Linked DNA regions of Saccharomyces cerevisiae S288C. The protein of the gene in region 1 binds, or shares a complex with, the protein of each later gene. Each region holds a gene or a part of one and is shown in the gene's direction. Other genes may lie near its edges.

Region 1 (6,012 bases):
CCCATATTCGGAAAGAACCTTATTGACCTATTAACGAAAGATAGAAGGGTTAAATATGATAAATCAAGCATTATTGATAATGAACTAATAAAACCCTTGCAAACCAGGGTATTGGATAATAGAAAGATCATAGATACCTTTGCAGTGTTAACCCCAAGTGCCGTCTCACTAGATATGAGAAAGTTGGCATTGGGATTAAATGATGACAGTTCGGTAGGCGAAAACACAAGGCTAAAGGTAATGCAGAACTGTTTTGAAGTATCCAACCCATTACACCAACTGCAAACCAAATTAACAATCGCATTCCCGGACAAATCGCTGCTTCAATACGATTGTGGTAAATTGCAGAAGTTAGCAATTTTATTACAGCAGCTGAAGGACAATGGACATAGGGCACTTATCTTCACACAAATGACAAAAGTTTTGGACGTTCTGGAACAGTTTTTAAACTATCATGGTTATTTGTATATGAGACTAGATGGTGCCACAAAGATCGAAGACCGTCAAATCCTAACAGAGAGATTCAACACTGACTCAAGAATAACGGTATTTATCCTATCAAGTAGATCAGGAGGGCTAGGTATCAATCTGACTGGGGCAGATACAGTTATTTTTTACGATTCAGATTGGAATCCAGCCATGGACAAACAGTGTCAAGATAGATGTCACAGAATTGGACAGACTCGAGATGTGCATATTTACAGATTTGTCAGCGAACATACCATAGAAAGCAATATCTTAAAAAAAGCCAACCAAAAAAGACAATTGGATAATGTTGTTATTCAAGAGGGTGACTTCACAACAGATTATTTCAGCAAACTTTCGGTGAGAGATTTATTGGGATCCGAATTGCCCGAAAATGCTTCAGGTGGAGATAAACCACTAATAGCAGATGCAGATGTGGCAGCCAAAGATCCCAGACAACTGGAAAGACTTCTTGCGCAAGCGGAAGATGAGGATGATGTTAAAGCTGCAAACTTAGCCATGAGAGAAGTCGAAATTGACAATGACGATTTCGACGAAAGCACAGAAAAAAAAGCAGCTAATGAAGAGGAAGAAAATCATGCTGAACTTGATGAGTATGAGGGCACTGCCCATGTTGACGAGTACATGATCAGGTTTATTGCCAACGGTTATTATTATTGAAGGACCAGGTTCTACTCTTCACCGCTGCCTTAGTTGTCCAAATCGGACTATATACCTATTGTGAATATTTTAATGATATATAGCCATAATGAATCAACAAATTGTATTATTATTTCCGACAACACTATCGCCTCTTGGTTTTTATGGTAATGTACTCACCATGGCATTGTTCCTTGGTCACCAATTTCTATTTACCGGGTGATGGCGGCGCGCCACAGCGGAGGGGCATTGCCACATTGCTGCGCGATCAAGGTTGGTTTTTCCAAAGAGACTTCAAGAGTACTAAGCTTTTGATGTAGTAATATTTGTCAAAGAGTTTTAAGAGCAAGATTCCATTGAACAGAGGTGCTGGAGTGACGAGCGTGTGTGTTTTTAGCCTATCTTTATTCGTTGAGCCTGTAGAAGAGCCGTTCTTTTAAGTACACCCTGATTAGATCCCCCTATTTGTTGCAACCGTTCAAGTTTTGTAGATCGGAAGAAGAGCAAAACAGAAAAATAAACAAGGCGAGAACGTAAGGTGTCATTGCATTAGCCATTAAAAACCATATTCACTCTTTACATTCGTGTAGCAATTGTTACTGTGATAAACTATTGAAATTATTTATAGTATATTTTGTTTTCTTCCTTTTAATCACTTTTTGAATTTTTAGAATCTGAAATTTTTTTTCTAACGTTGATTGGAAGAAAAGTAATGGATTCCACAGGCGCTTCTCAGATTGTTAGCGCACTAGATGTTATTTACTCCCCCAAGTCTAACAATTCTCAACGGCAAGAAGCTCAGAAATTTTTAGATGAAGTGAAATTATGCTCAGAATCGCCCTTTTGGGGCTACGAAATTGCATTGCAAAACCCCACTAATTCTATATTGAAATACTTTGGACTAGGATTACTAGACCATGCAGTGAAGAAAAACTGGAATGATTATGACGAGGGGAAAAGAGTGGCCCTGAGAAAATGGGTCATGGAACTTAATTTTGGGGTGCAAGATTATGATACCAGATATATTAAGGAAAAATTAGCCACTTTATGGGTAGAGGTGGCAAAAAGAACATGGGGTGAGGCTCTTAAGCAGACAAACCCTACGGAAGAACAGTTACTCACATCTTGGGTGGACATGGACAATAACCTTTTCGAACTTTGGAACATAAATCAATCGTCAAGAGAACTAGCATTAATAATTTTCAGAATCCTTTTTGAAGATGTTTTCTTGTTGGACGACCTAATTGTTTTGAAAAGGATGACGGTTATTCAACCCTTATGTGTAATGATTGTTTGCCCTATTGAAGTTTTCGCAATAAAATACAAATTCAGTGATAAATGGACCAAATTTAAAGCTAATGAAGAGGGCTGGTTTTCTGTTTGGATTCCAGAGTTGAATAATGCATTACAACAGAATAATTCTGAATACATCATAAGGCTTTTAGAAACTCTGAAGACGTGTTTAAACTGGCCATTAACAGAGGTCATTGTAAGAAATGACGTGTTATCCTCCTTATTGACTTGTTTATCCAGCAATATCCCAAGGGCGCAGTCAATGGCATTAGACTCGATACATATTCTGTTGACCCGTCCCTATAGTAATGAAAGCCATTACCAAATGACCATAGATCGAGTTTTTGATAATATGGACTTATTAGATAGCGTTTATGAAAGCTTGTTGTTTGATCCTACAGATGATATAGATGAAACGAAATATCCTATAATTAAAAAGTTCGTGGATATGATCAGTTGTCTCTATGTTTGTGTCCCAAAGATTAAGGAGACAAATGGCCAAATTCAAAAATATTTTAAGCTTGTATTAAAGACAACTTATAACCCAAGCTTAATCGTTAGCGGATTAACATTAGACCTATGGTGTACCTGTCTTCGAAACGATGAATACTTACCCAAGCTGGAGAAATATGTCATTCCTGATCTACTACAGTTTGCCGCGGATGCTTTAGTCTATTATGAACAGATTGATGGTCATATTTCCAAAAAATTTGCGGAGATTGATTTTCAATCCAAGTCCGAATTTCAAACATTTTGTTCCACTTATAGGAAAAGAATAAGAGACATCATTAGGTTGATTTCTTGCGTCGAATTAGACCTTACTTATGATTGGTTGAACAACAGATTAAACAATTATTTCAGCTCTCCATTTGGTCAGCAGGTCTTAAGTTCCACATTTTTGGACCATAAATTAGAGCCTTATTTAGGTGCCCTCTCCCAATACATGATTGTTGAATGTTTCATCAATGGTTGTATAAGATGGAAGATCTGGTATCCAACAGGAGATGATTATGACGAAAAACTAGATTCCATATTACAAAAACTGGAAATTTTGTCAAACCAGTTAATTGCATTAAATTTAAGAGAACCATTGTTATTGAAGAAACAAATCCAAAATTTTGCACTTTTTTTGACAATGTTAAAAGATAATGTGCTTTTCACACTTTTAGAAAAAATCATAACAAGCGCCACGATGGACTATCCAGAAATTAATTTGGAAGAGAGAGGCGCTGAATCAGACGCAGTTAGAGATTTGAGATATGCTTGTGGTATCGAGTTGAATAGGATGGCTTTATTAATGCCCGAATCTCTGAAAAAAATATACCCAGACCTTGAAAGTGTCATTGCCAGAATCATGCCCAACTTATCTTACCATGAAAAAATTTCCTTCAAATCCTTCTTATTGATCATTGTATTGAAGTCTTCATTAGATATGAAAGAGGAAAGATTTGCGGCTATTGTGGATCCAGAACTTTTAGCCTGGTCTGATAAAACAACAGTTGTTGGTCTTTCTGATTTGCATTGGTTTATGGAACGCTTAGGTATTGTTCAGATCGCAGAATATTTCCAGAGGCGTGATATCGACGAAAATAGTGACCTTTTATCAATTCCAATTGATGATGAGGGTAAAGAGCTGAAGTCGGAATTGACCAAACGTTGGCAAAGCTTGTTTCCTGTTCGTGCAACAAGAATGTTCATTCATTATTCAATGCAAAGTATAAAGACAGATGAAGAATTCAAAATGCTACAAGATCTGTGGAGACCTAGGATTGTCCCAATATTACCTTACATCACGAGACTACTGTACCAATTGCAATCCTACCACGATCCAGATAATTGGAAAGGATTACCTACGGTTGTGCAATCCTTCGTCAAGTATTCCACTATTGAAAGATTTTGGGAGGCCGGAGCTTCAAATAAATCAAAGGATGAGTTTATTGATGAACATATGAAAGCGATGCAAACCTTACGAGACTTCGCCGACTCCGTAGGACACATCATTAGGTATACAAGGGAATACACTCTACTTGTTTTAAGTGCCATATCATCACTTGGTAGTGTTTTTTACCTTTTGGACGAATCGCCCGACCTACTACTGAACTCTATTGCCATATTTAAGCCAGGTAGCAATGAGATAAGCCCTGGAGTTTCAACACATGGATGGAAACACATAATGAATATAGCCATTCGTCCTATATTAAAAGGTTGTCCAAAAGATTGTCTGGGGAAATTCATGCCCGCATTTTTGCCTAAATTATTTGAAATCCTGGACCTGCTGCTATGTCAGAAATGGTCCTCGCATATGAATGATATGGACATGAACCCAGTTCCAACTGACGATGATCAAATGACTGAAGAAATTTTGGAAGAGAATTTGTTGAGACAACTAACCACAGTTGTTGTTAGAATAGTAATTGATTGTGTTGGTCAAGGCAATGCCAATCCAAACAGTGCTAAAAGCAGGCTAAATAACCATCAAATGGAGATGAGAAAAATTATATTTAATGATTTAAACACCCTTGCTCCATTTTTGAAACTTTTGAACCATTTAATTTCCTTCAAGGATACAAAATGTTCATTTAACTCCATCCTAGTAATGAAATGCTGCTTAACCTCAGTCCTTAATCAAAACAACACGGTGGATGAATATTTCACATTTGAAGTGATGAAAAATCTGTTGCTAAATGTGCTGTGTAATAGTGCGTTTAAGGATTCTTTCCATGAGGCACTATATGCTTTCACTGTGATTTTTTTGACTCTGTGCAAAGAATATCCCTCTGCTAGAGCGTTCCTTTTTGAGATATCTAATGGTTATAATATTGATGAGTTATACAGAAATTTAAGGAGCGTGGACGAATACAAAACACAAAGGGCACTCATGATTGATTTTATAGATTGGGTTAAATCCACCAGTGGGAAAGAAGATGGTAATGTGGACCATGCAGGCGATGAGAGAAAAAGACAAGAGAAAAGGGAAGCTATCCTCAAGAAGGCAAATGAGAGATTAATTAAGAAGAATAAAGAAAACGGAGACATGCTGGATGATCCGAACATTGAAGACGGTGCTGTGGGTAATCTCTTTGATGACAACTGATAATAAGGTGCCATATATACGTAGATGTGTAGATGAAATTAGAGAAAGCAAATAGACATCTGAATCGTGCTAAAAATTGTAATTATTGTGAAAAAAAAAATTCTGTATTCGCAATTTTTTTAATGAAAGTCGGCAGCCGGTAAATATGCATATAATCAAGCGTTTTAATGTGGGTCTGAACAAGGTATTTCTGAAGATTTTTTCTTCACATATTCCCTAATATTTTAGCGAAATAGGAAACCATTGGCAATGGAACAACTGTGTAAGAGGTACGTGCATACACCGGCGGCTTTTATACAAAACATTGTTGCTAACACTAAAAGAACAACGCTAGCCACGCAATTATCTGTTGAAAAAGCTAAAAAAAAAGTTCCCAAGACAGCTCTTAAAAAGAAACTTAATAGTAGGCCAAAAGAAAGGCTTCCGAATTGGCTAAAACTAAACGATGTTTTTAACATACATTACGAAAAGCCATCTAACTCTGATATAAATAAGGTTAA
Region 2 (2,675 bases), on another chromosome or scaffold:
CGGGAAACGGATTTCTCGTTCTAGGCCTCGGCGGCTCTTAAAATTGTAAAATGAAAATGAGAATAAAATTAAACTATACACAGCTGATCAGCGTTCTAATGAAAAAAAAATGCATTGGAAGGAAAAGCCGAAATACTTCATTTTCTGGGCATTGACGTTCTGTTGCCTCTTGTGCATACACACTTGTTTTTATTGAAATCGAGCTTATTGTAAGAGAACTTGCGCTTATCTTCAAATGCCGCTTTCCTCGAAAAAGCATTTAAACATCATTCAAGATTATTAGTCTATCAAGCTTGTCCAGACTGCTTGTTATTATGTAAAACAAGTATGTTGGTATTGTATTTGATTGCCGATTCTCATATCGCCATACACGAACCAATTATGCATCATAAAAAAAGCGTAGTTCTTTTACCCGACCAACCAACTTCTTCCTTTGTCCTCAATATCAAAGAAAAAAAAAAAAACCCACTGCTCAGATGTTATAAGGAAGGGGTGTTAACTTATATACAGGTTCATCTACCAGTCACCAGTCCATACAAACTTGAACCGTCTGCGTACCAGTCCTAATCAAAATGTTCCCTATCGCTTCCAGAAGAATACTGCTCAATGCTTCAGTTCTGCCATTGAGACTGTGCAATAGAAATTTCACTACCACAAGAATATCCTACAACGTCATACAAGATTTGTATTTGAGGGAACTAAAAGACACCAAACTGGCTCCAAGTACCTTGCAAGATGCTGAAGGTAATGTTAAGCCTTGGAACCCACCACAAAAACCAAATCTACCAGAATTGGAACTTCAAGGCCCAGAGGCTTTAAAGGCTTACACCGAGCAAAATGTAGAAACTGCTCATGTTGCTAAAGAGTCTGAAGAGGGTGAGTCAGAGCCAATTGAAGAGGATTGGCTAGTTTTGGATGATGCTGAGGAAACCAAAGAAAGTCATTGAACTTTTCATAGCATCCTCCTTGTCGAAGAAAAAACAAACAGAACCACAAGCTGAACAAGATCATTATTTTTGGCTTTCTTCCTCTCATCTTTTTATATTCGAATCCAGTACAATAAAGAAAAAGCAAAATACACTACGCACTCTTTGTAATCAGCCACACAAAATGCAGAATTTATTTTTTAAACAAAAAATACAATTGTACATAGACACGTCTTTATCTTTCCTATTACTACTATTCTTTTATTTCAATAACTATTACTTTCTAAGTATGACCTACGCTTCTTTGGTAAATAAATAATGATCCGTTTATGAAGGACATGCGTGGTTCGTCACCTTAGGATAATATCGCTCTGGACGAAAGCTCATCCCACCGAGATAGAAAAAAAATTTTCGTTTCTTTTTTCTTTGGCGAAGATTTTGAAAAATTTGAACTGTATGATCAACTTTTCCTCACCTTTTAAGTTTGTTTCGTTTTTAAACAGGAAGAACTGCTCCTTCAACATTTTTCCCTCAATCGATTTTTAGTCCAGTACAAAAGGAAAATCAAATAAACTCATTTATATTATAAATGTCTGCCCCAGCTGCTAACGGTGAAGTTCCAACATTCAAACTAGTTCTTGTCGGTGATGGTGGTACTGGTAAGACCACTTTTGTCAAGAGACATTTGACCGGTGAATTCGAAAAGAAGTACATCGCCACCATTGGTGTCGAAGTGCATCCTTTATCCTTTTACACCAACTTCGGTGAAATTAAATTTGATGTCTGGGATACTGCCGGCCAAGAAAAATTCGGTGGTTTAAGAGACGGTTACTACATTAACGCCCAATGTGCCATCATCATGTTCGATGTTACTTCCAGAATTACTTACAAGAACGTTCCAAACTGGCACAGGGATTTAGTCCGTGTTTGTGAAAACATCCCAATTGTCTTGTGTGGTAACAAGGTCGATGTCAAAGAAAGAAAGGTCAAGGCCAAGACTATCACTTTCCACAGAAAGAAAAACTTGCAATACTACGATATTTCTGCCAAGTCCAACTACAACTTTGAAAAGCCTTTCTTATGGTTGGCCAGAAAATTGGCTGGTAACCCACAATTAGAATTTGTTGCTTCTCCAGCTTTAGCCCCACCAGAAGTCCAAGTCGATGAACAATTGATGCAACAATACCAACAAGAAATGGAACAAGCTACTGCTTTGCCATTGCCTGATGAAGATGATGCTGATTTATAAGGGACAAACGAGAACAAGCTTTCTTTTTTCCCTACCCTAAACTGTATACATATTTACATTCATCTCGATATAGAAATTCAATAAAAATCCACATGATTTTGAAGATTTTATAATTGCAACAAGAAAACACAAACTAACTGGTACTCCTGTCTTTTATAAAACAGATTTAAATATATAACAAATAGTTGAATGTGAATATGCTGTGATTTAAGTATATTTAAACGTATTTGGCTTGTCTAATATTATATTTTTTAGATCGTTTATGGATCGTTTCAAACGGATGTAGGAGCACACGTAACAATTAGATTATATCTTTGAACATAAAACCAATAGCCTTAAAATCAAAGAAACGTCTCCTTCAACTTGCGTTAAAGGCATACCAAAGCAAGCTTATTCAACCATGGTTACCCTTGAATACAATGCAAACAGTAAACTGATCACTGCGAGTGATGCTGTTGTTGCACTATCTACCGAAACTAATATCGATCAAATAAATGTTC

The links.
Region 2: the proteins of MSN5 (region 1) and GSP1 are in contact, whole or in part, in a cryo-EM structure (PDB 9D45), measured with the Saccharomyces cerevisiae proteins. Residues at the interface, in NP_010622.1 of Saccharomyces cerevisiae: Leu13 (codon at 1,874), Ile16 (codon at 1,883), Tyr17 (codon at 1,886), Pro19 (codon at 1,892), Asn23 (codon at 1,904), Arg26 (codon at 1,913), Gln27 (codon at 1,916), Gln30 (codon at 1,925), Leu33 (codon at 1,934), Asp34 (codon at 1,937), Lys37 (codon at 1,946), Ile58 (codon at 2,009), Tyr61 (codon at 2,018), Phe62 (codon at 2,021), Lys73 (codon at 2,054), Arg103 (codon at 2,144), Tyr104 (codon at 2,147), Glu107 (codon at 2,156), Thr111 (codon at 2,168), Ile166 (codon at 2,333), Glu169 (codon at 2,342), Leu174 (codon at 2,357), Arg242 (codon at 2,561), Glu245 (codon at 2,570), Arg278 (codon at 2,669), Asp329 (codon at 2,822), Glu332 (codon at 2,831), Pro336 (codon at 2,843), Ile434 (codon at 3,137), Gln437 (codon at 3,146); in NP_013396.1 of Saccharomyces cerevisiae: Arg31 (codon at 1,606), Phe37 (codon at 1,624), Lys39 (codon at 1,630), Ile45 (codon at 1,648), Gly46 (codon at 1,651), Val47 (codon at 1,654), Glu48 (codon at 1,657), Val49 (codon at 1,660), His50 (codon at 1,663), Asp64 (codon at 1,705), Trp66 (codon at 1,711), Glu72 (codon at 1,729), Gly76 (codon at 1,741), Leu77 (codon at 1,744), Arg78 (codon at 1,747), Asp79 (codon at 1,750), Gly80 (codon at 1,753), Tyr81 (codon at 1,756), Ile83 (codon at 1,762), Asn84 (codon at 1,765), Arg108 (codon at 1,837), Arg112 (codon at 1,849), Val113 (codon at 1,852), Glu115 (codon at 1,858), Asn116 (codon at 1,861), Val126 (codon at 1,891), Asp127 (codon at 1,894), Val128 (codon at 1,897), Lys129 (codon at 1,900), Asn145 (codon at 1,948).

Annotation. Positions count from the first base shown.
Region 1 is NC_001136.10:1,139,331-1,145,342, forward strand, and holds MSN5 (karyopherin MSN5), read left to right. Parts: upstream 1-1,837; coding exon 1,838-5,512; downstream 5,513-6,012. Other genes in the region: chromatin-remodeling protein SWR1, read left to right, coding at 1-1,146; translation initiation/elongation factor MRX8, read left to right, coding at 5,762-6,012.
Region 2 is NC_001144.5:720,271-722,945, reverse strand, and holds GSP1 (Ran GTPase GSP1), read left to right. Parts: upstream 1-1,515; coding exon 1,516-2,175; downstream 2,176-2,675. Other genes in the region: ATP14 (F1F0 ATP synthase subunit h), read left to right, coding at 573-947; Sec63 complex subunit SEC72, read left to right, coding at 2,576-2,675. UniProt on the Saccharomyces cerevisiae protein: GTP-binding protein involved in nucleocytoplasmic transport. Required for the import of protein into the nucleus and also for RNA export. Essential for cell viability.